Linked DNA regions of Stegostoma tigrinum. The protein of the gene in region 4 interacts with the protein of the main gene of each other region in a pairwise test. Links are inferred from orthologs where the notes say so. Each region holds a gene or a part of one and is shown on either strand. Other genes may lie near its edges.

Region 1 (7,588 bases), on a different chromosome or scaffold from region 4:
GTTTAGGTGAAGACTCATTTTGCATATTCGAAAGCCATCACGTTAAGTGCACCTGAGAATTGTTGGAGAAATTCCAATACTGGATTTAATAACCTGATGAGCAATGTTGCTTCTTGAAAGGAAGAGATTTCTGGGTTTTATTTTAAAGCAGGAAATGCCAATTTTACATTGCTGGGCTCCACATAGCCCCAGCTGTCCTGTGGTGCTGAATATCATCCCATGGTGCAGGGCAGCAGCTAGGATTCAGTTTCACTTTGTTCGGGAGATTGCTGACCTATTTCAGGTTGTCATGGAATTAAAGAAGCTGTTCCACTGGCTGCTGAAATACAAGACAATTTCCACAAATGTAAAACGTTTCCATTCTTGTTCTGATTTGTAATCATTGTATAGCCCCCTTTCTTTGAAATCTCCTTCACCCAGGAAACCTAGGATCGTCTAACTCCAGTCCAATTTTCACCCTAAGTATTAATCACTTTCCTCTTAGCACCTGCCCCTTCAGCTTCCCAGGCCTATCTTTCAGACAACAGCCTTACAGTGTCGTTCATTGTGACTGTCCAACTTTGACTGTCTTTGGTTACAGCCACCATCTTGGTATGACTCACGAATCTCTTTGCTTGTTCTGATTTCACAGCTCCCAGCCTGTTGCCTCTATAGCTTCCTTCTTGCTCGATGCTCCTGCTTCTGTAACACAATCCACCTCTCGATATCATGGCCCACCTTAAAACCCCTGTTCATCTTACTTTAATGCCATCTTCTGCCACCTGTTGAGCAGTTTGTTCTCTGAATGTGTTTGGTAGCATTTAAATGCAAGTTGTTGTTGTAAAGCTAGCACTGACTTCTGGTTGAGCATTTGACCTGCACTGTTCGATCGGGCTAACTATGACCTTGAGAACCAACAAAGTGCTTCATGGGAATATTTTTGAAGAAAACTCATTAACTGTAACAGGACTTCAGGCAAACAGGTGAAGTGCAACAATATCATGAATATGTACACAGTTAAAGCTCTCAGGTGAGAGAGACAGAGATGCCATGGGGGCTTTGAAACAGTTGAGCTATGAGATCTGAAAGAACTCAAGTGGCTGTGATTCAATATCAGACTCAATTGTTGGATTTAGTGTTTGCCCTTGCCAGGGAAAAGCACAACCCTCACTGGGCTATGGGCTCCCCCTCCCCTCCTGAAAGTGCTGACCCTCACTGGGTTACCAAGTCCCTCACAAGAGTGACCATCGCACAGTCCCTGTGGAGACCAAGTCCTGCCTTCACAAGGAGAACGACCTCCAGCGTATTGCGTGGCACTATCACTGTGCTAAATGGGACAGACTTCACACAGATGTAGCAGCTCATTCTGGGCATCCATGAGGCACCGTGGGCCATCAACAGCAGCTGAACTGTACTCCAGCACAATCTGTAACCTCATGGCCTGGCACATTCCCTACTCAACCATTACCATCAACTCTGGTTCAATGGAGAGTGCAGGAGGGCATGCCAGCAGCAGCACCAGGCTTACTTGAAGATGAGGCATCAATCTGGTGAAGCCAACAAACAAGGATTACTTGCACACCAAACAGTGAAAGCAGCAAGTGATAGACAGGGCTAATCAATCCCACAACTGATGGATCAGATCTAAGCTCTGCAGTCCTGCCACATCCGGTGGCGAGTAGTAGAGGATGATTAAACAACTCACTGAAGGAGGGGGCTCCACAAACATCCCCATCCTCAATGATGGAAGAGCCCAGCGCATCAGTGCAAAAGATAAAGCTGAAGCATTCGCAGCAATCTTCAGCCAGAAGTGCCGAGTGGATGATCCATCTTAGCCTCCTCCAGTGGTCCCCAGCTTCACAGATACCAGTCTTCAGCCAATTCCATTCACTCCACGTGATGTCAAGAAACAGTTGGAGACACTGGATACTGCAAAGGCTACGGGCCCTGACAACGTCTCAGCAATAGTACTGAAGACTTGTGCTCCAGAACTTGCCACTCCCCTAGCCAAGCTGTTCCAGTATAGTTACAACACTGGGATCTACTCGACAATGTGGAAAATTGGCGATGTATGTCCTGGAGATAAAAAGCAGGACAAATCCAACCCGGCCAATTACCAATTACTGTCATCAGAGGCAAAAATGGAAGTTGCCGGATAGGCTCAGCAGGTCTGACATCATCTGTGGAGAAAAAATCAGAGTTCCACCAGGGCCACTCAGCTCCTGACCCCATTACAGCCTTGGTTCAAACATGGACAGAACAGCTGCATTCCAGAGTGAGGTGAGAGTGACAACCCTTGATATCAAGGCTGTATTTGACCAAGTGCGGCATCAAGGGGCCGTAGCAAAACCAGAATCAATGTCTATCAGGGGGCAAATGCTCCAGTAGTTGGGGTCATACCTGACACAGAGGAAGATGGTCGTGATTGTTGGAGGTCAGTCATCTCAGCCCCAGGACATCTCTGCCGGAGTTCCTCGGCCACACAAATGCCCCAGGACATCTCTGCCGGAGTTCCTCGGCCACACAAATGCCCCAGGACATCTCTGCCGGAGTTCCTCGGCCACACAAATGCCCCAGGACATCTCTGCCGGAGTTCCTCGGCCACACAAATGCCCCAGGACATCTCTGCCGGAGTTCCTCGGCCACACAAATGCCCCAGAACATCTCTGCCGGAGCTCCTCGGCCACACAAATGCCCCAGGACATCTCTGCCGGAGTTCCTCGGCCACACAAATGCCCCAGGACATCTCTGCCGGAGTTCCTCGGCCACACAAATGCCCCAGGACATCTCTGCCGGAGTTCCTCGGCCACACAAATGCCCCAGGACATCTCTGCCGGAGTTCCTCGGCCACACAAATGCCCCAGGACATCTCTGCCGGAGTTCCTCGGCCACACAAATGCCCCAGGACATCTCTGCCGGAGTTCCTCGGCCACACAAATGCCCCAGGACATCTCTGCTGGAGTTCCTCGGCCACACAAATGCCAAGCTATAACCATCCCCAGCAGGCAACAGCCTAATCACTGGCCCTTACCGTTCAATATTGTTACCATTACTGAGTTTTACACTATCAACATCCCAGGGGTTACCACTAACCAGAAATTCTACTTCCACATAAACACAAGACCAGGTCAGAAGCTGGGAATACTGCAGTGAGTAACTCATCTCCTGCCTCCTCAAAGCCTATCCACCATCTACAAGGCACAAGTCAGGAGTGGGATGGAATACTCCCCACTTGCCTGGATGGGTGCAGCTTCAACAACACTCAAGAAGCTTGACACGTTCCAGGACAAAACAACACACTTGATTGGCACCACATCCACAAGCATCCACTCCCTCCTCCACCAATGTTCAGTCGCAGCAGTGTGTACTTTTTACAAGATGCTCTTCAGAAATTCATCAGAGATTCTTAGACATTATCTTCCAAACTCACAACCACTTCCATTTAGAATGTCAAGGGCAGCCACTACATGGAACACCATCATCTGCAAGTTCCCCTTCAAACCACTCACCATCCTGCCTTGGGAAAATATGTCGCTGTTCCTTCACTGACACCTGATCAAAATGCTGGAATTCCCTCCCGAAGCACTTTGTGGGTGCACCTACTCCAAATGGATGGCAGTGGTTCAAGGAGGCAGCACATGACCACCTTCTTGAGGGCAACTGGGCAATAAATGCTGGCCTGGCCAGTGAAGCCAATGTCCCACAAATAAATAACAACAAATTTTGAACATGCCCAGCAACTTTTCACTGTCTACCCTCAAACCTCTTTGTTCAAGTCTGTGTGTTTCTGTGTGTGCGCGCATGTGTGTCTGTGTCTTTATGTCTGAGTTTCTGTATCTATGTGTTTGTGTGTGTGTGTGCGTGTGTGTGTGTGTGTGTGTGTGTGTGTGTGTGTGTGTGTGTGTTTATCTATGTGACGCCCTGTCTTTGTGCCTGTGTGTGTGGGTGTGTGTGTGAGTGACACCCTGTCTTTGTGCCTGTGTGTGTGTGTGTGTGTGTGTGTGTGTGTGACGTCCTGTCTTTGTGCCTGTGTGTGTGTGTGTGTGTGTGTGTGTGAGTGACGCCCTGTCTTTGTGCCTGTGTGTGTGTGTGTGTGTGTGTGTGTGTGTGTGTGTGTGTGTGTGTGTGTTTATCTATGTGACGCCCTGTGTGTGTGGGTGTGTGTGTGAGTGACGCCCTGTCTTTGTGCCTGTGTGTGTGTGTTTATCTATGTGACGCCCTGTCTTTGTGCCTGTGTGTGACGCCCTGACTTTGTGCCTGTGTTTCTGTATCTATGTGAAACCCTGTGTGTGTGTGTCTGTCTGTCTTTTTCTCTGTTTCTGTATGAGTTTCTCTGTCTTTGCTTCTGTGTGTTTCTTTGTATCAGTCTGTCACTGTCTCTGTGTCAGTGTGTTTTTGTCAATGCCCTATTAGGAGCAAGCCTAGACTTGCTTGTGAACTCAAGCTTCCCTCTTCCTGCCAGATCTCTGTGTTGGGTTGTTTCGCAGTGTGGTGTGGGATAGCTGTAATCAAAGCAGTTGCCATAGTGAGGAAAGGAAGCTGCTCAATGATGTGGGGAATACCAAGCAAATGGCCTGAAATTGAGACAAGAATAGTGAAAAATGGAAGTAGGTTTTTCATTCTATTTGTTTTCCTACAGGTACCCTCGCCTCTTGATGTGCTTACACTCATCTGCCACATATTTCTGCAGAGTTCTGTCTTAGAAGATCTGTTTCTTGTATTGCCTTGTATTGCCTTGCATTGCCTTGTATTGCCTTGCATTGCCTTGTTGAATTTGTTTTGCACACATTGTGAAGCTGTCAATGCCGCATGGAATAGATTTAAACACTCGTAGCACAGGGACAGCATGGGGTTAGATACACAGTAAACATCCCTACACACTGTCCTCATTAAACAGGGATAACACAGGATTAGATACGGAGTAAAGCTTCCTCTACACTGTCCCCGTTAAACACTCCCAGAACAGGGACAGCATGGTATTAGATGCAGAGTAAAGCTTCCTCTACTCTGTCCCAACACAAGTTGAAACCACCTGATGGTTCCAGTGTGATATTCTCTTTCCTGGACCACCCATTCTTTTACAGAGGTTTTGAGCCATCTTCCTATTCTAGAAGCAGCGCAGGAGACAATGTGCTTGTGGCCTGAATCCATATTGAATCACCATCAAGTGGCGCTGTGGTGTTCTGTGTTTGAAGATGAAGGAAGGTGTTGGAGTAAATTAAATACATTCCCACAACAAAATCTGAATCTTCCTCCTCAGCAAATTTTTCAAAGTTGGTGAATCGCCTCACCTTCAATGGTTTTTCCCTCTCCTGCACAATCCTGAGTGAGGGCTGATGCTGATGTAGAGCAGGCAGGGTGAGTGTACAATCTACAGGCAGGCTACAGTACAGGGACAGGTTTTGTAAATTTGGAGTTTGGGAGACTGTGTCAATACATTAATCTAACACGAGGTGGCAGAATCTGCCTGAGAGTCTCTCACACAGGGAGCTACTGGAGAACAGCCTGTAAACATGTCCCATTTGGTAATCACTTGGAAATCCGTTCTGTAATCTCCACATTCTTACCCGTAAACATTTTTGGTGAACAGACCTGTCCACCATATCCTTCCTCTAGAGCAGAATGACAACTTTGTAAACTTTTTACTGGCCCCTGTACTTGAGTACAATGACAATAAAACTTAATTCTAATTCTTCCCTTACTCCTCTTCAGGCTCAAGTAAAGCCATTATCCAATTGAATGCTGAAAACATTCTACTGAATGGAGCACATCCATCAGGCCTGTATTTCAAAAGCAGCTCCTCCTCCCCGCCACCACCCCCACCCGCCCCCCCCCCCCACCTTGGAGAGTCAGTGTTGAGGGATTCACCCCCTCCATCCCGTGGAGGGTCAGCACTGAGGGATCCCCTCCCACCCCCCTTGGAGGGTCAGCAGTCAGGGATCCCCTCTCCCCTCCTTGGAGGGTCAGCACTGAGGGATCCCCTATCCCATCGGAAGGTCAGTCCTGAGGGATCCCCTCCCCCCCCCCCGGAGGGTCAGCGCTGAGTGATCCCCTCCCCCCTCGGATGGTCAGTGCTGAGGGATCCCCTCCCCTCCTTTGTAGGATCAGCACTGAGGGATAACCTCCCCTCCCCTTGGAGGGTTAGTGCTGAGGGATCAGCCCCTCCCCCCTTGGAGGGTCAGCACTGAGGGATCCCCGCCCCTCCCCTCAAAAGGTCAGCGCTGAGGGCTCTCCTCCCTCCTTGGAGGGTCAGCAATGAGGAATCCCCCCCCTCCCTGGAAGGTCAGCGCTGAGTGAGCCCCTCCCCCTTCAGAGGGTCAAAGTTGAGGGATCCCGTCCCCCCCTTGGAGGGTCAGCACTGAGGGATCCCCTCGCACCCCCCCCCGCCCCGGGAAGGTCAGCGCTGAATGATTCCCTCCACCCTCAGAAGGTCAACACCGAGGGATCACCTCCCCCGCCCCCCAGAAGATCTGTGCTGAGGGAACCCCTCCCCTGGAGGGTCAGCACTGAGGGATCCTCTCCCCCCACGTCAGAGGGTTATCGCTGAGGGATGCCCTCCCCCTTGGAAGGTCAGTGCTGAGGGATCCTCTTCCCCCTAACCTTGGAGGGTGCGTGCTGAGGGAGTCCGTCCCTGTCACAGCTCAGTGCTGAGGGAGGTGTTCTCTTTCGGATAAACACCTGCTGGATCCTGCCTGGCAGATATATGTAAAAAGAACCCAAGTCTGTTATTTTGAAGAACAGCTTCAGTGGCTCTAACTATACTCAGCTGGCTGGGTGGTTGGTTTGTGAAGTAGAGTGATGCCCACCGTTTGAGTTCAGCTCCCTCCAAAGAGATCCTTCAGCGCTGACCCTCAACTCCCACCCTGGCTGAGGTTACCACAAAGGAGTCTCCTCTCAACCTCCCCCCTCACATGAGATATCTGACCCTCAAGTTAAACCACCCCCAGTTGTCTCTCTCTAAGGAGAGAGCAGCCCAATGGAAGAACAGACAATGCTGGAGTCAGTGATAACATGGAGCTGGAGGAACACAGCAGGCCAGGCAGCATCAGAGGAGCAAAAGAGTCAATATTTCAAGTCTAGACCCTGATGAAGGCCTGAAGCATCAACTCTCCTGCTCCTCTTGTACTCCCTGACCTAATGTGTTCCTTCAGCTCCACACTGTATCAGCTCTATGGGCTGGTAAGACTGTGGTAACTCCCACTCATTTGTCAATAGTGATGATGTAAATATTTACTTTGATTATTGCGTTATTGTCACACTTTTGAGATTGTGAAAGGTGCTATAGGAATGTACATGTTACTTTGGGTGGAGGCTCGAATGCTGGTCAGGCTAGTTGACCCCAGAAGATTGAAGTGTGAGCGCAAACAAGCATTTCAGTAACAGTTTTGCTGTGTGGAGACAGTGACATTACAGTGTCCGCTGAGGGCCAGTCAGGTCACTGGTCTGATTTTACTGGAAACGAGGCCCAGGCAGAGTGATTAACAGCTTAGGCAAGAAGTTTCTGTTCATAGTTCAGAATTAACAATACATTCAACCTACATATTAGATTTCTGTCCCATTTCCCAGGTTTTAAACTGTGCTGTTTATAAATTGAAGCAGTGAGGGTGGT
Region 2 (7,738 bases), on a different chromosome or scaffold from region 4:
GAAATAACATCAGATTATACCACATTACAAAATTACATATTTTAGAGAACAAGGCAAATTTATTGGTGTTCATAAACTATCATATAATGGATTTAAGGTCTCATTTCAATACAACAATTCACATTCATTTAATAATGATTGTTATATTGTTTTCTTCTGGCTGACTAATATAATAATAAGAAAGTGGTCATAATTGCTCTCACTTTCAAACATTCACTGAATTAGATTGATATTCCAAATTGCTTTCATGATTGACCTAAGTAATATCTGAATTGATTTATTTTTCAACATATCATCATGATTTGGGGAGGAGAGATTTTTTGATACATTAATTCCTAACTTAGCCATAGAAACCTGTTTTCATTTGAAAAAATAAAAATTAAAAATACTTTCAGTCAGCTAATTGCAAACGAATGAAATGTTTGTTTTTGCAAACAGCAATGATGAATAAAGACAAGTTCCATCATGTTGCATCGTGGGCAAATAACATACTCAATTCTCAGTGACTGGCTTTCGGTTCTTGTCTGAAAATGTGGTGTTGAGGGAATGGAGATATTACATGAAAGATGTTTAGTGCATTAAGCTTTGATTTTTATTTTTTCAAATGAAAACAGATTTCCATGGCTAAGTTTGGAATTCATATATCAAAAAATCTCTCCCACCCAAAATCATGATATGTTGAAAAATAAATCAATTCAGATATTATTTAGGTCAATCATGAAAGCAATTTGAAATTGTCAAGATAGGAAACTCAATCCAATTCAGTAAATGCTTGAAAGTGAACTGCAATTATGACCACTTTCTTATTTTTATATTAAATCAGCCAGCAGAAAACAAACAAAAAAAATCAGAAGTCATGTTACACTAGCTACTTTGGTCAATTTCTGTTTAAAAATTGCTGCAGCTAGAGATATGAGGAATTGATGCACAACGGCTTGAAACCGCAGCAATAAAAACAAGAACTGCAATTAGAAGCTAGTTGTCTCTATTGTAACCAGTTGGCTGAGAAGTTCAGACTTATCACCTCCTAATGCTTACAGGTGGATAAGAGGCGAGTTAGGTACGTTTGCAACAGACTAAAAAGAGAACGATTTCAATGTCTGTGACACACAAAATAGTGTATCCCTGCCTCCCTAATCTGTCCTTCCCCCCTCCACCTATCCTCTCCTCCCACCTCAAGCCCCACCTCCATCATCTACCAACTAGCCTCATCCTGCCCCCTTGATCTGTCTGTCCTCCCAGGACTGACCTATCCCCTCCCTAGCTCCCCACCTACACTCACCTTTACTGGCTCCAACCCCACCTCTTTGACTTGTCTGTCTCCTCTCCACCTATCTTCTCCCCTACCCATCTTTTATCTGCCTCCCCCTCTCTCACTATTTATTTCAGAATCCCCTTCCCCTCCCCATTTCTGAAGAAGGGTCTAGGCCTGAAAGGTCAGCTTTCTTGATCCTCTGATGCTGCTTGGCCTGCTGTGTTCATCCAGCTCTACACCTTGTTATCTCAATTATTATTGAACTCGCTCAACATGTTCAGCTATAATGATCCAAACAAATAATGAAACAATATATGATCCTACATTGTAACCAGTACCTTATGATATTTAATATGCAGGTAAATTAACATTTTTATGTCATGTATGTTTTATAGTCCACAGACCATTAAAATGGATTCACTTAAGCAAATAACTGGATTTAAAGGACTTCCTAATTTACACATTCGATTGCAAATTAACATTACATTTCAGAATTGAAGGGAGGACTGGTATGCTCATGGTTTGTAGCCAATTGAGCACATTGCATACATTACGTAGCCATAACAGAGTCCTGTTTAAATGATATCTATGTTGTATGTTGTGCTAAAACTAGCACCAGTAAGTGCAAGGAAAACAGCAAAATGCATACAGTGATTGGTTGACTTACAAGAATGAGAATTTCAGTACTTCCTGTTGGAGAATTAAAAGCTTTTTAATGTTAAAACTTCCAAATTTGTCTGTTATTAGCAATATTCAAGTGTTTTTGTAAGTCACAACTGTAGCAATACTATGTTTGCCCCTTTGATTACACATTCGCCATTCTCATCTCCAGTCCACAGTGCAAATATAGGAAGGATCTAGTTCAATGACCACAATAGCCTTGCCATTTTCCAAAATAAAAAGGCAGCTTTTTGTAACTGTAAACCGTAACATTGAAAGCTACAAGCAAAACAGCAACATGCCATGCCACAGAACATGTTTACTATTTATTAGCTTCCACATGAGCCAACCACTAAACAGAAGAAAGTATAGTGCAGGGCTTTGGCTAACATCTTTGTGCATATAATCAGCCTATAATGATAAATATTCAGGAAATGCACTCCACTGTTGCAGAAATGTAGACATTAGCACAGTGATTGCTCGTGGCAGTTCAACTTTTTGGAGCTTATTAACAGCAAATGTCTGTTCTCATTCATTGCAGAATATTTTCACATCTTTCTTCACTGTTTTATCTGCTGTATTCGTTTTCCACAGCCACTTCGCTAAACATGTAAGGACTTAAGAAAAATATTAATCTCTCATGTGAATTAATTAAAACCTATTGAATTAAATAACTGCATAAGACAAACAAAACACCACTTCTAAAACATTTAGTAATTTAAAGCCAAGAATATTTCTTACATCTCCAGAAATCACTCACATATTTCTGAGTTTGATTAAACCTTATTTAAAGCATTATTTCGGGCAAATGGTTCATATCAAATATACATGTTAATTTAACCTTTAGTTATACACATCAGTTTCTCTGACAGATTGCCAGTCTTACAGTAAGGCAACAAGTCCCAAAAATAAAACTTGATTTTACTGTGCAAAAAATACACTCTTACTATTAAAGTCTGCAGTTATTGATAAAATAAAATTTGTGCATTTCATGTCAGAGAAGCTCTGTAGCCAAGTTGGGTACTTACTTTCCAATGAAATATATTCTAATCAAATCTATGCCAAGTCTAGGGTAAGCCCTAGAAGATTTGTTGGCATATCCAGATAGGCTTGCAGGGATGGCTAAAAAGTACAATAAGCAACTCTTTGGAATAAAGGGTTCTTTCCCGTGATTAGCAAAAGCATCTTCTTCCAGGCAGCACAGCTTCCTCAGAAGAATGAACAACATTAGGAACCACACCACTCTTAACACCTTCCCACCCTTCCTGGATGGATATGTTGCCTTTTTTCAGTAGCTCGTATATCTCTCGGGTCAGAACGGTGAAAGATTCCTCCACGTTCATCGAATCTTTTGCAGATGTCTCGATGTATTTCATACCAGATACAGCTGCAAGTTTCTCTGCCTCTTCCTTTGAAACTTTCCTTTGGGTCGCCAAGTCGCTTTTGTGTCCAACAAGCAGGAATATGATTCGATACGGCTGGACGTGCATTTTTGCTTCTTCCAACCAGTCACGCACGTGTTCGAAAGATCTACGATTTGTGATATCAAACACAAGCAACCCACCAACTGAATTACGGTAGTAGGAACGGGTTATGGACCTGGGATTGGAAAAAAAAGAGGAGTCAAAAAACAATTTTTCTGTTGAAAATCAGTGATCAATTACTTTAAAATTATTTTAGTGACAACAATTTACTTCTCATTGTCAACTCAAAGCTACATGGTAAACCCCTCAAAACAAAACTCCATTAGCTAATGCTAAAAGTCCCTTATAAAAATAGTGCAAACACTCCACTGTCTAGAGTTAGTTTTGATCTCAATCAGAAATCTTTGATGCAGTTCTCTGTGGTTTCTGACAGCTGCCTTTCACCCAAGTGCTACAGATAACTGGAAGAACTCTCATAAGAATTCACTTCAATTATGTTCAGCACCATCCAAATCATGAATGCACACAGAAACGTAGAAAACAGGAGGAGAAAGCCATTTAACCCTCTGGCCATTCAAGGTAATCGTGACTGAACATTCAACTTCATGTTCTATTCTTGCTCTCTCCCCTCACCTTTTGAGGTAGTAAGGACTGCCGATGCTGGAGTCAGAGATAACACAGTATGGAGCTGGAGGAACACAGCAGGCCAGGCAGCATTGGAGGAGCAGGAAAGCTGACATTTCGGGTCGGGACCCTTCTTCAGAAACATCAGCTTTCCTTCTCCTCTGATGCTGGCTGACCTGCTGTGTTCCTCCAGCTTCACACTGTGCTATCCCCTCATACCTTAAGCCCGAAAAACTATGTTTAACTCCATCTTAAAAACATTCATTCACGTTTGCATCAGGCACAAATCTTGGTCTGGCTGACTTTTAGAAGGTGGGGACATTCGTGGAAGGTGTGGGGGTGAGGCAAGGAGATGGAGGAGAATTAAATTCAGTCATAGTCCTTTCTCCTGCCTTTTATCTCATAACATTGGCAGTAAGGTGCACCTGGAACTTTAGAGGAGTAAAGAATCAGATTTCGTTTGTATATCCTCCCTTGTAATGATAACACACCTGGGCAGTAGATCTTTTTCCTCTTCTCTTTGCAAGGAGGAAGTTAGGTTTAATGTTGACTTAGCCATCCGGGTGGGGAACTCAGACACTCCAGTTTCCAAACAAAATATTGCACCTCATGTTGTCAGCTCAGAAAACCTGCCCATATCATCAACATCAGGCTCTTTGCCTTCAAGAATTGATGGCCAGGTCGAACTATGCCCTCACGGATAGCATCAGTTAGGTTGTTCAGACAATTCTATCTCTTCATTGTGTTTATTACTTCATCAATTAACACTGGGCCTGCAGCTTCAGAATGTGGTATGTTCAGTCAGTAGGTTTATGAGTCAGCCACTGCAGCTGACGTGCGGTGCACTAAAGATCCCAAACCCCCTCCGAATCTGATATTGTTTTCATGAGTTTCCTCCAAGTTACATGCAATATGCAGGTGCACTGAAGAAACAAGATGATTATCAGTCGAAGGTTTTGTCCATGTCAGGTGACCTTAAGCCTGGAGACTTAAAAGTTGCTTGACACAGTTAAGTGCTCCAAGGGCTGCTCCCACACAAATAGGCACCATTGTGTCCTCACATTTGGCAGGTCGATCCTGCCACAAAAGGGAGAAGATCAGCTCACAGATGGGTTATGGAGGAGCCTGGAGCGTAATAGACATCTTTCTGACAGAGAGATGCTAGTCTGGTCTATTGGCCACAATAATCTTGAGCAGTCTCCAAGATGTTGGTGAGGGGGATTGGGCTATTTGGTTGAAAAGCACACAGCATTCATCACTATTTGAGTGATTGTTTAACTCCTACAATGAAAACTTTCTGCTGCAATAATCAGCTCATATTGAGTGGCTCAATTGCTCTGACAGGTTAACTTCCTACAGAAAGAAGAACACAGTAATGCCTAGCTTAAAACTATGGTATCTTACTTATAAACCTCACTAACTTATAAAGCCAGAGTTTTAAAGGTCAAGTCAAAAGTAAAAGAAAAGGAATACACGACACACTTAAAAAGTTGGAATAATTTGGGCGGTAAGTTTGTCAAGGTAACATTAAGCAAGTCCCTTATGTAAATTTAAATATCATAAAATTGCTGTTGAACCAAACTAAAAATATTTATTTTCAATACAAGATACAAAAATACAGCACTCCCCTGAGAATATCACATCCTGCTCAACAGCTGGAAGAACTGAAAACATTAAAATGTCTTGCACAGGTTAATTTGTTCAAAATACATCCCTAAGTTCATTTGATCAGTAAAGTATTTTTATAACTGACTTTAACAAACTCAGTAATAATTTCAACTTAATTTCTATTGAAGTAGATCGTCGGGAAGTTAGTTGCTTGAAGGCTATTATTGTTTAAAGCAACTGTTGCACATATTTTGGAATAATGCACTCAAAACAAGTACACAGGCTTTTTATTATGCTGTTAACCACTTCCTGCTGGAAATGTTTAAGAACACTTTTAGATTAATTGTAGAGGTAAATAGAGAAATTTTATTATTTCTAATCGACACATAGGTGAACATTACAGTATCTACATTCAAATAAGTTCCCTTAATCATGCACCATGATACAAAGATTCACATGAGACCAACACCTCAGTGTATAGTCAACTAAGATTAATAGAACATAGAACATTATAGCACAGTACAGGCCCTTCAGCCCTCAATGTTGTGCCGACCTGTCATACTGATCTCAAGCCCATCTAACCTACACTATTCCATGTACGTCCATATGCTTATCCAATGACGACTTTAATGTATCTAAAGTTGGCGAATTCACATACTGTTGCAGGCAAAACATTCCATTCCCTTACTACTCTGAGTAAAGAAACTACCTCTGACATCTGTCCTATATCTTTCACCCCTCAATTTCAAGCTATGCCCCCTCGTACTCGCCATCACCATCCTAGGAAAAAGGCTCTCTCTAATCACCCTATCTAACCCCCTGATTATTTTATATGTTTCAATTAAGTCACCTCTCAACCTTCTTCTCTCTAATGAAAACAGCCTCAAGTCCCTCAGCCTTTCCTCATAAGGCCTTCCCTCCATACCAGGCAACATCCTAGTAAATCTCCTCTGCACCCTTTCCAAAGCTTTCACATCCTTCTTATAATGCGGTGACCAGAACTGTACACAATACTCCAAGTGTGGCTGCACCAGAGTTTTGTACAGCTTCACCATAACCTCTTGGGTCCGGAACTCAATCCCTCTATTAATAAAAGCTAAAACACTGTATGCCTTCTCAACAGCCCTGTCAACCTGGGTGGCAACTTTCAAGGATCTGTGTACATGGACACCGAGATCTCTCTGCTCATCTACACTACTAAGAATCTTACCATTAGCCCTGTACTTTGCCTTCCGGTTACTCCTACCAAAGTGCATTACCTCACACTTGTCTGCATTAAACTCCATTTGCCACCTCTCAGCCCAGCTCTGCAGCTTATCTATGTCTCTCTGCAACCTACAGCATCCTTCGTCACTGTCCACAACTCCACCACTCCACCGACCTTAGTGTCGTCTGCAAATTTACTAACCCATCCTTCTACGCCCTCATCCAGGTCATTTATAAAAATGACAAACAGCAGTGGACCCAACACCGACCCTTGCGGAACACCAATAGTAACCGGTTTCCAGGATGAACATTTCCCATCAACTACCACCCTCTGTCTTCTTTCAGCAAGCCAATTTCCGATACAAACTGCTATATCTCCCACAATTCCATTCCTCCGCATTTTGTACAATAGCCTATTGTGGGGAACCTTATCAAACACCTTGCTGAAATCCATATACACCACATCAACCGGTTTACTCTTATCTACCTGTTTGGTCACCTTCTCAAAGAACTCAATAAGGTTTGTGAGGCACGACCTTCCCTTCACAAAACCGTGCTGACTATCCCTTATAACCTTTTCCAACACTTTATAGACCAGTGAGCCTTACCTCAGTTGTTGGTAATTACCAGGGTTGTCTCTACTCTCCTTCTTGAACAGGGGAACTACATTTGCTATCCTCCAGTCATCTGGCACTATTCCTGTAGACAATGACGAGTTAAAGATCAACGCCAAAGGCTCGGCAATTTCCTCCCTGGCTTCCCAGAGGATCCGGGGATAAATCCCATCCGGCCCAGGGGACTTATCTATCTTCACCCTCTGAAGAATTTCTAATACCTCTCCCCTGTGAACCTCAATCCCACCTAGTCTAGTAGCCTGTATCTCAGTATTCTCCTCCACAACATTGTCATTTTCTAGAGTGAATACTGTTGAAAAATATTCATTTAGCGCTTCCCCTATCTC
Region 3 (7,399 bases), on a different chromosome or scaffold from region 4:
TAAGATTGCTGGAAATAACCTATAATCATCATCATTGAGTTGCATTTAAATTCCTGTCTGAGGTATCAAATAGTTCTTGGTCTTGTGCTCTATCTCTCAACCTTCTGGATCAAATCCCTATTCTTGGAAGAAAAATTCCTGGGGAAGTAGTCACTTCTAGCACCTTTTAACAAGAATAAAGTTTGTCTATTTCTGGCTCTGACAGAATTATAATAATACTACCAGTCATGTTCAGTTGGTGTTTGGTTTCATGCTTGTTATCTGGCTTCTGAGTGAGTTAATACCTGAATTGGCAGGAAATGTGAAAGCAATGATGCCAATGAAAATAGTTGGGTTTGAATAGTGATGTAGAAAATGTTGAATTTCCAGTTTAGTTCATTGGCATGTAGTATATTTTTAATCCATAGCTTTTGGGGTTTTTTGCATAAAAGGTCAGCTAGCTGGACCTCTGAGCTCCTTGACTGGACCAGATTAACAGCCCCAATCAAGGAACTTGCTGACATAAGCTTGTTTAGGTATTAGTTTGTTTTTGATTCCTGACCTATGATGCAGTGCTATAGAGTGACTTAGAAAAAGTCACTAAGTCCTCATTTTATTGACTGACTGGATATTCCTATCCAGAGTTACAGGGGTCTTTGCTATAAACATGTTCTGGCAACACTAATTGGCTATAAGCTGTTTGACAAATAGGGAAACGCATTTTAAACGTGAACTTGTGTTGGCTGTGATTCCATACAGTAGGCAGCTTGCTGTCAGGAGCCCTTTGTACTAGTTCACTGTAGGTATTGTTAACAATGTTGTGGTTGAGTCGGAAATTCGGTCAGCTTTTTTCAATAATTGAAACAGACCTGCTGGCTTCTTTTATTAGTTTAAAAATTAGGGTGTAGGGAAAATGGAAGAACAATATTCTTTCCTTTGAAGGGAAACACTGAAGAACAGGAGCTGGGCACAAGAGGCTGCTCCAGCAGACTATGTAAGTAAGCAGCCAGATCATGGTGGGCTTGTATTTCAACTTGTTTGTTTTTTGCACCCTTGCGCCATAGCCCTCCATACACACGGTGTGAATGGCTGAAGGAGTCGAATTTGCTATGGCAACATACGTGTATATATCGCAGTCTGGAACTTTGAATCTCCGAACCTATACTCTGCTTCTGGCAGGAAGGATTTGCAGATCTCACCTTGAGTGCGCCTTGCCGGGCCATTGAGTTCTGAGGCAGGACTTGAACTTTGACCTTCTTGCTTACAAAAGCTTATACCTGTAACAATCTCGATTTTCACAAAGAGCTTGACAGCCACTTAAGTGTATATAAGTGCAGTCATTGTAGAAAATACAACAGCATTCACGCATAACTCTCTCTCCCAAGCAACGTCTGATGAGAGGACAATCCATAATTGTTGCTGACTATCGGATAAGCATTGACTAGGACACCCGGGTAACTGTCCTGCACTCTTTGGAAATAGTGAGGACAGATATGCAATCAGAAAAGGATCTGCCAAACAGCTGTCACAGTCGGACCAACCTGTTTGAACAGCTGCCGAACGTAGTGCTATCCTTTGAGCCACGCTTTTGGTGGTCTGCCCCTAACTCCGCTTTTCTCATTGGCCCAGTTATTTTCCACAGCGTGATTTTTCTGCAGCGTAACTATCGCGTCATAGCGGAACCGCCTGTATTTTGGTTTGAGTGCGTCAAACTATATGAATTTACAGCATGACCCCGAACCTGAAGGTTTTGATGACGATCTTTCAATCTTCCCTGGATAATGACAGTAGTCGTGTCAAAATAAATATGGGAAAAGCCTTAAACCCAACAAAGTCAGCAGCATCCTTGTAACTCCCTCAAGTTTCACAACACCATCTTTCCTATAGCAGAGAAACCAGAATTGAACATAGTATTCAAAGTGGCCTAACCGATTTCCTGTATAGCTGCAACGTGACCGTTCCCAACTCCATACACAATGCACTGACCCATAAAAGGCAAGCATATCAAATATCTTCTCTATCCTGTCTACCTGTGACTCCACCTTCAAGAACTATGAATCAGCACTCCCAGTCTCTCTGTTCAACTGTTCAGCAACACTCCCCAGGACCTTAGCCAGTGTGTAAGCCCTGCCCCGAATTGCGTTTTCAAAATGCAGCATCTCGCATTTAGCTAAATTTAGAAATCCAGCTGCTGCTCCTCTGCCCATCTGATCAAGATCCCATTGTACTCTGACATAACCTTCTTTGCTGTCCACTACACAGTTTTGGCATCATCTGCCAACCTAAACATACCGACTCTGCTCACATCCAAATCGTTTATATAAATGATGAAAAGCAGTGGACTCTACAAAGATTCTTGTGCCTTGTGGCATGCCACTGGTCACAGGCCTCCAGTCCGAAAAGCAAACTTCTACCACCACCCTCTGTCTTCTACCTTTGAGCCAGTCCTAATCCAATGGGCTAGTTCTCCCTGTATTTCCTATGATCTAAATTTGTTAACTAGCCTACCATGAGGAGCATTGAATGCCTTACTGAAGCCCATATAGATCACATCCACTGCCTTCATCAATCCTCTTCGTTACTACTTCAAAAAAACTGTTGTTAGTGACAATTTCCCATGCACAAAACCATGTGGACTAACCCTAATCTATCCTTGCCTTTCCAAATACATAAGTCCTGTCCCTCAGGATTCCCTCCAACAACTTTACCACCATTGCTGAACCTCCACTCTGCTAGCACCTCTCCTGTGGCTAACAATGATACAAATATCTCCACAAGGGACCCAGCAATCACTTCCCTACCTTCCCACTGGGTTCTAAGATAAACCTGATCAAGTTCCAGGGATTTTTGCACCTTTATGTTAACACTACTTGTGGGCTTCAAGTGCTGGTTAACAATCTAGATGCAAGATATTGTGAAGTGACCAGCTATCTAGCAATTAGTTAATCTCTTCATGAGAAGAAAATGGTGGATGTTTACATGAGGAATGCACGGGGTGAATTTTCTAGCAGACTTGTACTTAGCTCTGTTTAAAGAAAAACTGGAAATACTCATTAGGCAGCACCTGTGGTGACAAACAAAGCTAAGATCTTGGGTTGATGATATTTTCTGACTTTGAAATATTAGTGAAAACAGATGTTAAGCAAGTACAAAATTGATAGATGGAACAAGGAAGGGATTGGAGAGACTAAATAACAAATGGAACGGTTCCACAAAGCAAAAGAAAGTGACTGGGCAAGTAAGGGAATAAAAAATCTTGGAGCATAAATAGGACTAGTAGAATCATCACTAATGCTATGATTTGAAAATAGGGGACAGATTACAACCCAGAATTAAATACCATATTGGATACTTAATCTTTGGGACTCAACCTGAAAGTGATGTGCAGTTTGTAAGTTTTGATCATACTTCAGTCCAACAGTGGATGAAGTTAAGGACAAAGACGAGTTGGCATTGTCTCAGAATTAGTTGATTTTAAAGTACAATTGAGGTATCCACCAGAATGTTGCTGTGGGAATTTTGGTTTTGGTTTGTTTTGAATGCTGAAAAGGGAGGGAATAGAAAGATGCTTGGATAACCTAATGCTGAAAGAGGTGGTAATGGTAGATGTTCAATTAAATATGTAGGTTGTGGAAGGGGAAAAGAACAAGAAGAAACTAATCTCCCCGGGGGGCGGGGGAAGAGAGAGAGAGCGAGAACAAATCTAGGAAATGGATCGGTCACTACCCTTTTCGAGATAATGAGAACTGCAGATGCTGGAGAATCCAAGATAACAAAGTGTGGAGCTGGATGAACACAGCAGGCCAAGCAGCACCTCAGCTACCTTTTTCGAGCATCTTTATTAGGTCAATCTACGAGGACTAGTAATTAGGCTGAATGTTTGTTTGGCATAACATTTAATCATTGGGATTTATGAGAAATTTCTCAATGTATACTTAAGAAGCCACTTATTTATCAATCACCATATCTTGCAATGAAATTGTCAATAGTAAAACGCCGGTTTATCTTGGCTTCAATATTTATTTTGGTTTCACAATGCTAACGTGCATCATCCGCAAAAACATTCCGGAACGAAAAAAAAATCGGTTTACTCGCAAAATAATTTACCATTACTTCCTCCTTTTTATTGCCTAAATTGGTGACAATTTGACTCACATCACAAAAGTCCTGGCAGCTGTGATCACATCTCGGACTGATAGATGGCTCATCCCAGAGGCGAATTCCAGTGCTGGGGAAGCCAGGTGAGCTCGCTGCAGTGGAGGAAGCCGCACTCACCTTGCCATCTTTCTCACTCAGCCGCGGATTGTTGACAGGCGACGCCGCGATGGCAACCAAGTACACCTTTCCCAATTGGCTGATTTCGCAGGGGCAGCACCCAATGGAGGCGAGGGTAGCTGGTAGGCTGACCAATGCGGCCAAGCCGTGCCCGAGAGCAGGGCGGTGACGCGGGGTCGATCGTTTCCAGCTTCTCCCCACCCCGTCCCTGGAGAGGGGAGGAGTGAGAGTGAGAGTGAGAGGTTGAGGTTGCTGGAAAGGGGCGTCTGTCCCCTTCCAGTCTTTTCTGGTGCTTCCTTTCGAAGTGTGGCCCGGTCAGCCAGAGTAGTAAGTGTTTCGGTATAAGTGAGGAATATATCTCTGTCTGTGTGTGTGTGTGTGTGTGTGTGGGAGCGAGCGAGCGAGCGAGCGCGAATGAACTGGGAGGTTTGGCTCACCAGTCACAGACAGGTGTTCGCACACCCGTGGGCCAGAGGAAGGTGAGAAACGTTTCGTGGGTGGCTAGGATCCCAGAGCTGGCGTGATTTTAATCGCCTCCAACTCCTGCCACCCTTCTCCTGTTCGTGTCTCAATGTTCAACGACCGGGGACGGAACGATTTACATGACCATTTGGTTCCTATTGTTCTTGATGAAAACCGAGGCGAGAACACTCCCGAAATGATTCATTTCAACTGAAAATGGTGAGGTGGTGTTCCGCGATTGCGGACTGTTTCACTTGAATGAGTCCTTCCCGCAGTGAAGGTGTGGCGGCAATAAAATGAAATTTTCCATTGAGGTATAACTGTATTTTGATTTCGTGTCCTTTTTCGGCTACGTGTTTTCTTGCCTGCCCCTTGTTTAGTTTTTTTTCAGTGCGGTCATAATGGAATATGGCCACTGTTTAGAGAACAATCGAAGGGGGTTTGAGCGCTTATTTTGCATCATTATTAGGAAAAAAAATACGCCTTTGCGCCACTGTGCTGCATTGGCTGTACTGGTCTGTCGAGAATACGATCCTTGATTGTTAATGGTGATAAACCAGTCCCTGTGCGGTAACTGGGCGTTACTAAATCTGTGTGTGACTGTGGTTTCTGTTTAACTTTCTACCGGTCAGTAGACGTGTGTTAATATCGAATATTCTTAGTTGCTCCAATTTTAAGTAATTCTGTCCGAGACATTAGCAATCTAAAGCGAAACAGTCAACTGCACATGTATATCCATTCTATCCTTTGATTTTGTTATTGAGACATTTTGTAAGCGTGATACAAATTGGGTAACTTTAAAGGAAAGTCGTATTTCCAGACAGTTTGAGTTTTCACTTAAACGGCATCTCTGCTAATTTTTTCTTTCTTTCTTGTGCTTGTTTAAAAGCTATTAAAATTACTTTGTACAACAACAATATTTTTCTATAGGGAATTTTACGTAAGTCACCTTTTTAGTAGACAGGTTCCTTGTTCAGAGATAACAAGGTGTGGAGCTGGATGAACACAGCAGGCCAAGTGGCATCTTAGGAGCAGGAAAGCTGACGTTTCGGGCCTCGAACCTTCATCAGAAAAGCTCCCTTGTTCAGACAGCATGCTGTGTTTCTCAATTTAACTTATTTGCTTTCTTTGCACGTATACTGCATTTATGAATAATGTACTCTGATTTTTCTGCTATGAGCTAAAGTTGTTTGGACCACCTGTAATTTTTTTTTGCCCCAAATGAAAACAAATCAAATCTTGCATTCTCTTGCAGGGATAGAAGAGATAAAACAGGGAATGCAAGATGCAGGGTCTTTTGTTAGATTTCCAGATGTGGCATTTGTAGGGAGAGCACCAATAAAACCTGTTGCCTCTGCAATCTAACTTGCAGTTGAACCAAAAATGATGGCGTCAGATTACAGTGTTGAGCAGAAAAAAGATATTTGCACATACCTTGTTTTTTGTATGCTTCAACTTTTATGAATATTAGTGTAGTGAACAGTGAAGAAGTCTGTGAAAAGAACAAAACCTTGATTAGTTGGGCTGAGGAATGGCAAATAGAATTTAACTCTTCATAAGTGGAAACTGTTGCATTTTGGAAGGCACACCAGGGCAGAATTTAATTGTCGTGTTCTGCGCTCTCTTGCTGAACAAAAACCTTGAGGTGCAGGTTCATATTTTCTTGAAAGTGGAGTTCCATGTACACAGGCTAATGAAGAAAGCATTTGATATGCTTGCCTGTATTGGTCTGTGCATTGAGTATGAGAGTTGCAATGTCATATGGATCTGGATGTGTACGTGAATAGAACGGGTTTGGTGGGATCTGGGCCAAGTGCTGGCAAATAGTACTGATTTAATTTAGGATATCTAGTTGGCATGGATAAGTTTGACCAATGGTCTGTTTCAGTGCTGTACAACTCTAGACTCTCTAACTGCAAATAATCATCTTTAAATAAGTAATTTTATACAATTTAAGTCATGTTTATTGTGACCCAACTGGTTATACTAGTAGCTATGGTGCCTGTGTGCCATCTCACTGCATTAGTGACTACTTCCTATCATTCTGAAGTATTGACAAGAACAGGAGGGGCTACTTAGCCCCATGAGTCAGTTCTCATTCAGCAGGTGTTTGTATCTTGCTGATGTACTTGTACTTGTATCAAGTATTAACCATTCCACATGGCAGCTGTGTCTAAACACATCACCTTGTTACCTCAATGTAGATGGCGTAGAGCTAGATGAACACAGCAGGCCGAGCAGGAAAGCTGACGTTTCGTGTCCAGACCTGAAACGTCAGCTTTCCTGCTCCTCTGCTGCTTGACCTGCTGTGTTCATCTAGCTCTAAAACCTATCTCAGATTCTCCAGCACAGGTAGTTCTTGCTGTTTCTCTTGCCAACTGTATTGTGCTATCTTTTCAACTAATTTCAGTATGCCCAGAATAAAAAGAATACAGTATAAAAACAGGATAGAAACAACTTTCAACACTGTCGTCTCAAATGTCTGCTCTTTCTAAAGGATACAGGAAGGTTGATTAAACATGACTGCTTCATTTTTCAGCTTCCATGCTGGTAATTATTTATCAATTCTTTTGTTATTTCATCCTCTGGGGAAGATTTTGTCTGCCTGAATACTGAAGCTAATTGGCTTGTAGTTTTCTGCATTAGTTTTAGGGATGCTTTGTTTCTATAGTGCTTGTCACAG
Region 4 (6,962 bases):
TGAATTGAAAGGGTAGTTGAAGCAGAAACACTCATAACACTGAGGAAATATTTACATGTGCATCTGCGATGCCAAGGCTTGCAAAACTATGGGAAAAATGTTTGAAAATGGGATTAGAATAGTTAAGGTCCTGACCCAAAATGTCAACTTTCCTGTTCCTCCGATGCTGCCCGGCCTGCTGTATTCACGCAGCTCCACACCGTGTTATCTCTGACTCCAGCATCAACAGTTCTTACTATCTCTCGAATAGTTAGGAGGTTGTTTTTGACTGGCACAGACTTGATGGGCTAAAGGGCCTTTTTCTGTGCTGTAGACCTCTAGTTTGCTAATATTACTTAATTGATATCTCAGCTAAAAATAAGAGTGATATGAAAGTTTGAGGTACTAGTGACCTACGCTTGTGATTAAATCATTTAGGCTTTGTAATGTTACCTTGACATTGCCAGACCTACAGGTAAACACATCCTTATGAATCTTGCTGCTCAGTGATGCAATGGGTTTTGAATTAGTTGGGAGCAATCCTATGCCTTTAACCATTACATCAAATCTAGAATTTTGTTAGTTTGAAATTATTCATGGAAACGTGAACATTTATGAGTTTATGAATTTACGAGTTATCCTCATTCTATCCTTACACTGGTCTTACCATGAAGCTGTTTCCGTTTGAGCTCGATAATTTGGGATAGGGTGGTAGAGAAAATAACAGGTCCAGGATAGAGGGACAGAATGTGAAGGTCAGAGCCAGGCCATTCAGGAGTGAAGTTTGAAAACAGGCCTTCATGCAAAGGGTTGTACGTGTGTAGAACACACTCTGACAATAACAGTTTGTACCAAGTAGCCCAAATAATACATTTGAACCAGGAGTAAAGGGTTTTTGTTCGAAGGGGTATTACGGGACAGACCAAGGCAGGTAAATGGAGTTACTGTAGCTGAGAAATGCAGAGAGAAATCAACATTAACATTAGAGATCTACCAAATGTCTAAAACCAGTGGGGAAGAAGCTGTTCTTCAATCTGTTCATATGTATATCCAAATGTATATATCTTTTGCCTGATAGAAGAGGGTAGAAGAGAGCATAACCAGGGTCGGAGTGGTCTTTGATTTTGTTGGATGCTGGAAGTCAGAAAGAAAAACAGATGTTGCTGGAGAAACTCAACATGGCAGCATCTGTAGAGAGAAAGCAGAGTTAATGTATCAGGTCCAGTGACCCTTCTTCAGAACTTTTCCCACCCCTCTGTCCTTTTACCGGAACTTGACCTGTTTCTCAAGAACTATCAATGTGATACCCTCTAAACTGACCATACGCTGTGTTCCCAGATCCAAACCTGACTTGGGAATCAAGCCTGCTGACAAGGCGGATGTTTCTGTTGACTGGCATACTGATCTCTACATTGCAGAGGTTGAGTGCCAGCTCTCAAACATCTCGTCCTGTCTCCCCTGGACCATGACCCTACCGTGGAACATCAGGCCGTTATGTCCACCATCATCAAGAAGGTTATCATTGAGTACAGAAGGATCTTGACCTGATGGGCCAATGGGTCAAAGAGTGGTAGATGAAGTTCAATTTAGATCAATGTGAGGTGTTGTATTTTGGAAAAGCAAATCAGGGCTGGACTTATACACTGAATGGTAATATCCTGGGGAGTGCTGCTGAACAAAGAGACCTTGGAGTGCAGGTTCGTAGTTCCTTGAAAACAGAGTGGCAGATAGACAAGATAGTGAAGAAGGCATTTGGTATGCTTGCCTATTTTGGCCCATGCATTGAGTATAGGAGTTGGGAGGTCGTGTTGTGGCTGTACAGGACATTGATTCAGCCACTTCTGGAATATTGCCTGCAATTCTGGTCTCCCTCCTACAGCAAGGGTGTTGTGAAACTGGAAAGGGTTCAGTAAACATTGACGAGGATGTTGCCAGGGTGGGAGAGTTTGAGCTGTAGGGAGAGGCTGAATAGGCTGGAGCTATTTTCCCTGGAGGGTCGGAGGCTGAGGGGTGACCTTATAGAGGTTTATAAAATCACAAGGGGCATGGATAGGGTGAATAGCTAAGGTCTTTTCCCCAGAATGGGGGAGTCCAAAACTACAGGGGCGTAGGTTTAAGCTGAGAGTGAAAAGATTTGAAAGGGACGAAAGGCCAACTTTTCCACATAGAGAGTGGTGTGTGTGTGTGGGATGAGCTGCCAGAGGAAGTGGTGTATACTCATACAATAACAACATTTAAAAGACATCCGGATGGGTATAGGAATAAGAAGGGTTTTGAGCGGCCTGGGACAAATGTTGGCAAATGGGACGAGATTAATTTAGTATATCTGGTCAGCATGGGCGCTTTGGACTGAAGGGTCTGTTTCCGTGTGGTATATCTCTATGACTATTCTAATTTGATCCGACAATTCCATTCCACTGCCTCCAAACTCATTAATCTCCAACTTCACACAGCCTACTTCTACCTCCATCCCAAAATTCACACACAAGACTGCACAGGCAAACACATTATTTTTGCCTGCTCCAGTTCCATGGGACTCATTTCTTCCTGTCTGAAAACAATTTTTTTTCCTCCCCTTGTCAACTCCCTTCTTATTTATACCTGTGAATCTTCTGATGTTTTACATTTTTAATCAGAATTTCCAGATTACCAGCTCCAGCCACCTCCTCTTCAACATGGCCTAGTAATCCTTTACACATTTCTGAAAAAGGGTCAAAAATAGAAATTGCTGGGAAAGCTCAGCAGCTCTGGCAGCATTTGTGGAGAGAGAGCAGAATTAATGTTTCAGGTCCAGTGACCCTTCTCCAGTGACAGGCAGAGTTTCTCCAGTTTTTTTTCTGTTTTTCTTTCTGATTTCCAGCAACCAACAAAGCCAAACGATCACTTGACCTGAAATGTTCATTCTGATCTTTCTCCACAATGCTGCCTGATTGGCTGAGCTTTCCCAGCAATTTCTATTTTTGACCCTTTTTCAGAAATGTGTAAAGGATTACCAGGCCATGTTGAAGAAGAGGTGGCTGGAGCTGGTAAACTGGCAATTTTGATTAAAAATGTGAAACATCAGAAGATTCACAACTGCGACAAAGCGCCATGGCTACCTGCAAACAATGTCGAGCTATGTGTCATCAATCACACTCAGAAATAAACAAACTCGTTTGCATCAATCAATCTGTCAGTAATAAAGTAATTAATATACTCCGGGGATCAATTGCAGTCAGTAATAAACTCAGACTCTGGCGCATCCATCTCATTTACCAGTAAACACATCATAGAAGTAGAAATGCTGGAGAAACTCAGCAGGTCTGGCAGCTTCTGTGGAGATAACATTGAATTAACATTTCGGGTCTAGTGACCCTTCTTCAGAATAAAAACCTAAGGAACTTCAGATGTTGTAAATCAGAGACAAAAACAGAAATTGCTGGGAAAGCTCAGCAGCTCAAGCAGCATCTGTGGAGAGAGAGCAGAATGAACATTTCAGGTCGAGTGACCATTTGGCTACATCGGTTGCTGGAAATCAGAAAGAAAAACAGAAATGACTGGAGAAACTCTGCTTGTCACTGGACTGGAAACATTCATTCTGCTCTCTCTCCACAGATACTGCCAGACCTGCTGAGTTTCTCCAGCAATTCTACTTGAGTCATGAGTTTATTAGTAAATGAGATGGATGCCCCAGAGTCTTAGTTTGTTAATTACTTTATTACTGACTGCAATTGATCCCCGGAGTTTGTTAATTACTTTATTACTGACTGCAATTGATCCCCGGAGTTTATTAATTACTTTATTACTGACTGATTGATTGATGCCCCCGAGTTTGTTTATTTGAGTGTGATTGATGACACAGAGCTCGACATTGTTTCTAGGTTGCCATGGCACTTTGTCGCCGTTGCGATGATGTCACAAAACCAGCCCACTCGTTGCGTTGTCGCGTCACAAAGATCGTCGGTACGTGTCGCCGAAGCCCCGCCCCTCGGCTGTCGGGGCCTGGTGCAGGCCGGGATACTGGAGGAGTCCGCTAGCTGCTTGGTGACGTGTGCGGGCCCGGATACCATGGCCGACGGGAGCAGACGGGCTAAGCTGGCGTCTGCCAAGAAGAAGGTGAGGGACAGGGTGAGCGGCAGACTGCGGAGGCTAAGGGGGAAGAAGCCAAAGCTCCGTGATCGACTGTCGGAACTGTTTTCCTTTTCCCCTCTCGGGGTGACCGGCTGATCTACCGCCTGTCCGCTGGGGGAGACGGTTCGGTGCGAGTTCGGGGCCCCCACGGCCTATGCGCCCCGAAGGGAGGGTTAGCAAGTGACTCTGGGGCCAGGGGCTGCGGCCGCCGCTTTCTCCGGTCCCCCCGGGAGGTGGTATCGCGGTGTCAGGCGGGGGTGGGGTGGGGCGGGGAGAACAACCCCGTTCCCCGCGACCCCTTCTCCCACCGCAACCCTGCACTCCCGGTTCGCTCCACATCCTTCTCCCCTCCGGCTCCCCATCCACATCCTTCTCCCCTCCGGCTCCCCATCCACATCCTTCTCGCACCCCCCCCCCCCCCCCCGTCCGGCTCCCCACTTCTCCTATTTATTCCCCCCCTCCGGCTCCACACTTCTCCTATTCTTCCCCCCTTCCCCCCCCCCCCCCGGCTCGCCACTTCTCCTATTCTTTCTCTCCCCCACCCCCCCCCCCCCACCACCCTCCGGCTCGCCACTTCTCTTATTTCCCCCTTCTCGCACCCCTACTATTCCTAGCCCTGGCTCACCCCCATCCCTCTCCCACATACCCTGTTCTTCTCCCTTCTCCTAGTACTCTGTCCACCCATCCCTGAGCTGCAGTGCCAGTTTGGGGGGAGAATTTACTCGCTGTGGCTTAACTTGTTCTCCACCACCACCCTCTCCCAAATTCTCTAGGCACAGTGTTAAAGGTGGACGAGAATAAAGAATCCTACTGTGTCCACCACTACCTTGTTCCCATGCCTCTGGGGCTTGGCATCAGCACAGGGATGTGGGAGAATTCTACTTCTCCTCTCTTCTCTCCTTCCCTCCCCCCCCCCCCCCCCCCCCCTTAACCTACCTCCACCCTAGCGTGCAGTGCCCGCCTGGGAGGTTTTGTGGTAGGGAGTCGAGAAAGAATCCTGCTCTGACCACAGTGTCAGTCTGTGAGGGTGATCTCTATTCTGTCTTTGACCCTGGGCACAATCCTAACCTGTCGGAGATAATCTCTACCCTGTCCCCCACCCTGGACACAATGTCAGCTACTGGGGATGATCCCTACCCTATCCTTGCACCGTCAGGCCCACAAGGTACAAGTCTGCGTGTGAAAGGGGTAAAGAGAGGTGGAATTGTAGCCCGTTACCAACTCTCTTTCCTGCACACTGCTAGCCTGACTGACATCCCAGCCTGCCTTATCACCCCAAGGTACTATGCCAGACTGGTTGGGGAGAAATCCTACTTGCTTAACCCTAATATGTGTGTAATGTCTGTCTGAGCGGAGTCTATCATATGCCCCACTCTCCTGACCACTCCATACACTTCCCCAAATTTCCTTTTGCATAAGTCACCACTTTTAGTACAGATGCAAGAATGATGCTCCAAACTTGATGAAAAACCTCTGCTCAATTGTTTACAGATATCCCAGTGATTGTCCTCCTGGGAGGAGTAGGCCTCTGTGGATCAAATTGGCTCAAAGATTACCCCCCATGATAAGGGGAATCTTTGAAGTTCATTTTCTTTGGCATTAACTCTCAGCCAGCAAATGTGCCTTACTTTCTGGCTGCTGTTGATGATTAAATTGACTGACTCGTCCAGCTCTCTTGATGGAGGTGTCCTCCCTGTTTTAACTGTATAACCATTCAAGTTAGTCCTGCTATGCAGACAGGTAGTGGGAATATTCCTAATGCTCTTGACAAATAAGCTGTTGGTTTTAATTAAAGCCAAGGAGTAACTGTGTTCTTAACTAGCTGTTACCAATCTATGCCAACATTACATGGTCACGTATATTTCATACAACACAAACAGTTAACTACATGGATTGATTTTGGACATTGCATGAGTTGTTTGCACATCTGGCATGTGCAACCGACCGAGGTATGGATTAGTTGTATGCAATATTAAATAAACAACTGACGTTCTCTAAAAGGAAATGCATTGCTTCTTATCTTCTTTATTGTGTCAGATTGTTGGCTGTAAATTTCGCGTATAAAATAATAATAAGGAAAACCACCTTCAGATTCCCTAAGGTTTGCATTTGTATAGCATATTTCATTATCTCAGTGCCCCAAATGGCTTTACAGCCGCTGAAACATTTTTGAAATATGGCACGCAGTTTTACATACAGCAAGCTCCCACAAATGGAGATATGATGATGACTGACGTCTCATTATCTGTTGATTGAAGGCTTTGAGGATATGATGGGTGCTGTGCAAGTGTTGATTTCATATTGAAAGGGTTTTTTTCTGTGAGCTACTGCATTTTTGTCAGCAGGAGTATCTCAGTTAGGGCTGGTTCCCTCTTGCTTTTGTACGTGTGATCGGAACAGTACTTTTGGTATCTATTTAAGTTGCTAATAGGAAATTCAGCAACTTTTGCCAAAAAATTCTCTGATTCCTTGAACTTCTGGCACATCTGTTCTTTAATTCATTTCTTTTATCTTCTGGCTTTAAATCAGGTCACTACAATAGTAGCTGTATTGACTGGAACGTTATGAACTCTTGATGGATTGGATGACAAAAATGATATTGAAATAATCTGTTTTCATGATAGCTGGCGCAGACATGTCAGGACACTTATTTCTTTCCGTGTTGCAGATCTTAATGGGTTATTTTGGAAGTTGGTCATGTTTTGGATTTGTCAGTTAATCACATAATTGGTCAAAGTGCTGCTCCCTCCTTTTACGATTCAGAAGTTCAATTTATCAAAAGTTATCAGCTTGCCAGAAGTAGTGTGGAAGTGAGTATCAAGGTGGTAAAGTCTTGGTACTTTGTATCAAATGCCCTGGAATTGAAATTCTCA

What was found.
Region 1: the proteins of golga2 (region 4) and ubiquitin carboxyl-terminal hydrolase 2-like interact in binary tests that used the Homo sapiens proteins (3 or more experiments, as listed by UniProt). The two-hybrid records come from large-scale screens. The link is inferred for Stegostoma tigrinum from reciprocal best matches to the Homo sapiens genes GOLGA2 and USP2.
Region 2: the proteins of golga2 (region 4) and cullin-5 interact in binary tests that used the Homo sapiens proteins (3 or more experiments, as listed by UniProt). The two-hybrid records come from large-scale screens. The link is inferred for Stegostoma tigrinum from reciprocal best matches to the Homo sapiens genes GOLGA2 and CUL5.
Region 3: the proteins of golga2 (region 4) and pkp4 interact in binary tests that used the Homo sapiens proteins (3 or more experiments, as listed by UniProt). The two-hybrid records come from large-scale screens. The link is inferred for Stegostoma tigrinum from reciprocal best matches to the Homo sapiens genes GOLGA2 and PKP4.

Annotation. Positions count from the first base shown.
Region 1 is NC_081385.1:1,061,798-1,069,385, forward strand, and holds the start of ubiquitin carboxyl-terminal hydrolase 2-like, read left to right. Parts: upstream 1-4,517; 5' UTR 4,518-4,525; coding exon 4,526-4,586; intron 4,587-7,588. UniProt on the Homo sapiens protein: Hydrolase that deubiquitinates polyubiquitinated target proteins such as MDM2, MDM4 and CCND1. Isoform 1 and isoform 4 possess both ubiquitin-specific peptidase and isopeptidase activities.
Region 2 is NC_081359.1:70,260,638-70,268,375, reverse strand, and holds the start of cullin-5, read right to left. Parts: upstream 3,007-7,738; 5' UTR 2,944-3,006; intron 1-2,943. Other genes in the region: ras-related protein Rab-39A-like, read right to left, coding at 3,088-3,514. UniProt on the Homo sapiens protein: Core component of multiple cullin-5-RING E3 ubiquitin-protein ligase complexes (ECS complexes, also named CRL5 complexes), which mediate the ubiquitination and subsequent proteasomal degradation of target proteins.
Region 3 is NC_081360.1:58,118,530-58,125,928, forward strand, and holds the start of pkp4 (plakophilin-4), read left to right. Parts: upstream 1-4,394; 5' UTR 4,395-4,581; exon of another isoform or gene 4,582-4,601; intron 4,602-4,637; exon of another isoform or gene 4,638-4,935; intron 4,936-7,399. UniProt on the Homo sapiens protein: Plays a role as a regulator of Rho activity during cytokinesis. May play a role in junctional plaques.
Region 4 is NC_081382.1:36,886,364-36,893,325, forward strand, and holds the start of golga2 (golgin subfamily A member 2), read left to right. Parts: upstream 1-3,959; 5' UTR 3,960-4,026; coding exon 4,027-4,074; intron 4,075-6,962. UniProt on the Homo sapiens protein: Peripheral membrane component of the cis-Golgi stack that acts as a membrane skeleton that maintains the structure of the Golgi apparatus, and as a vesicle thether that facilitates vesicle fusion to the Golgi membrane.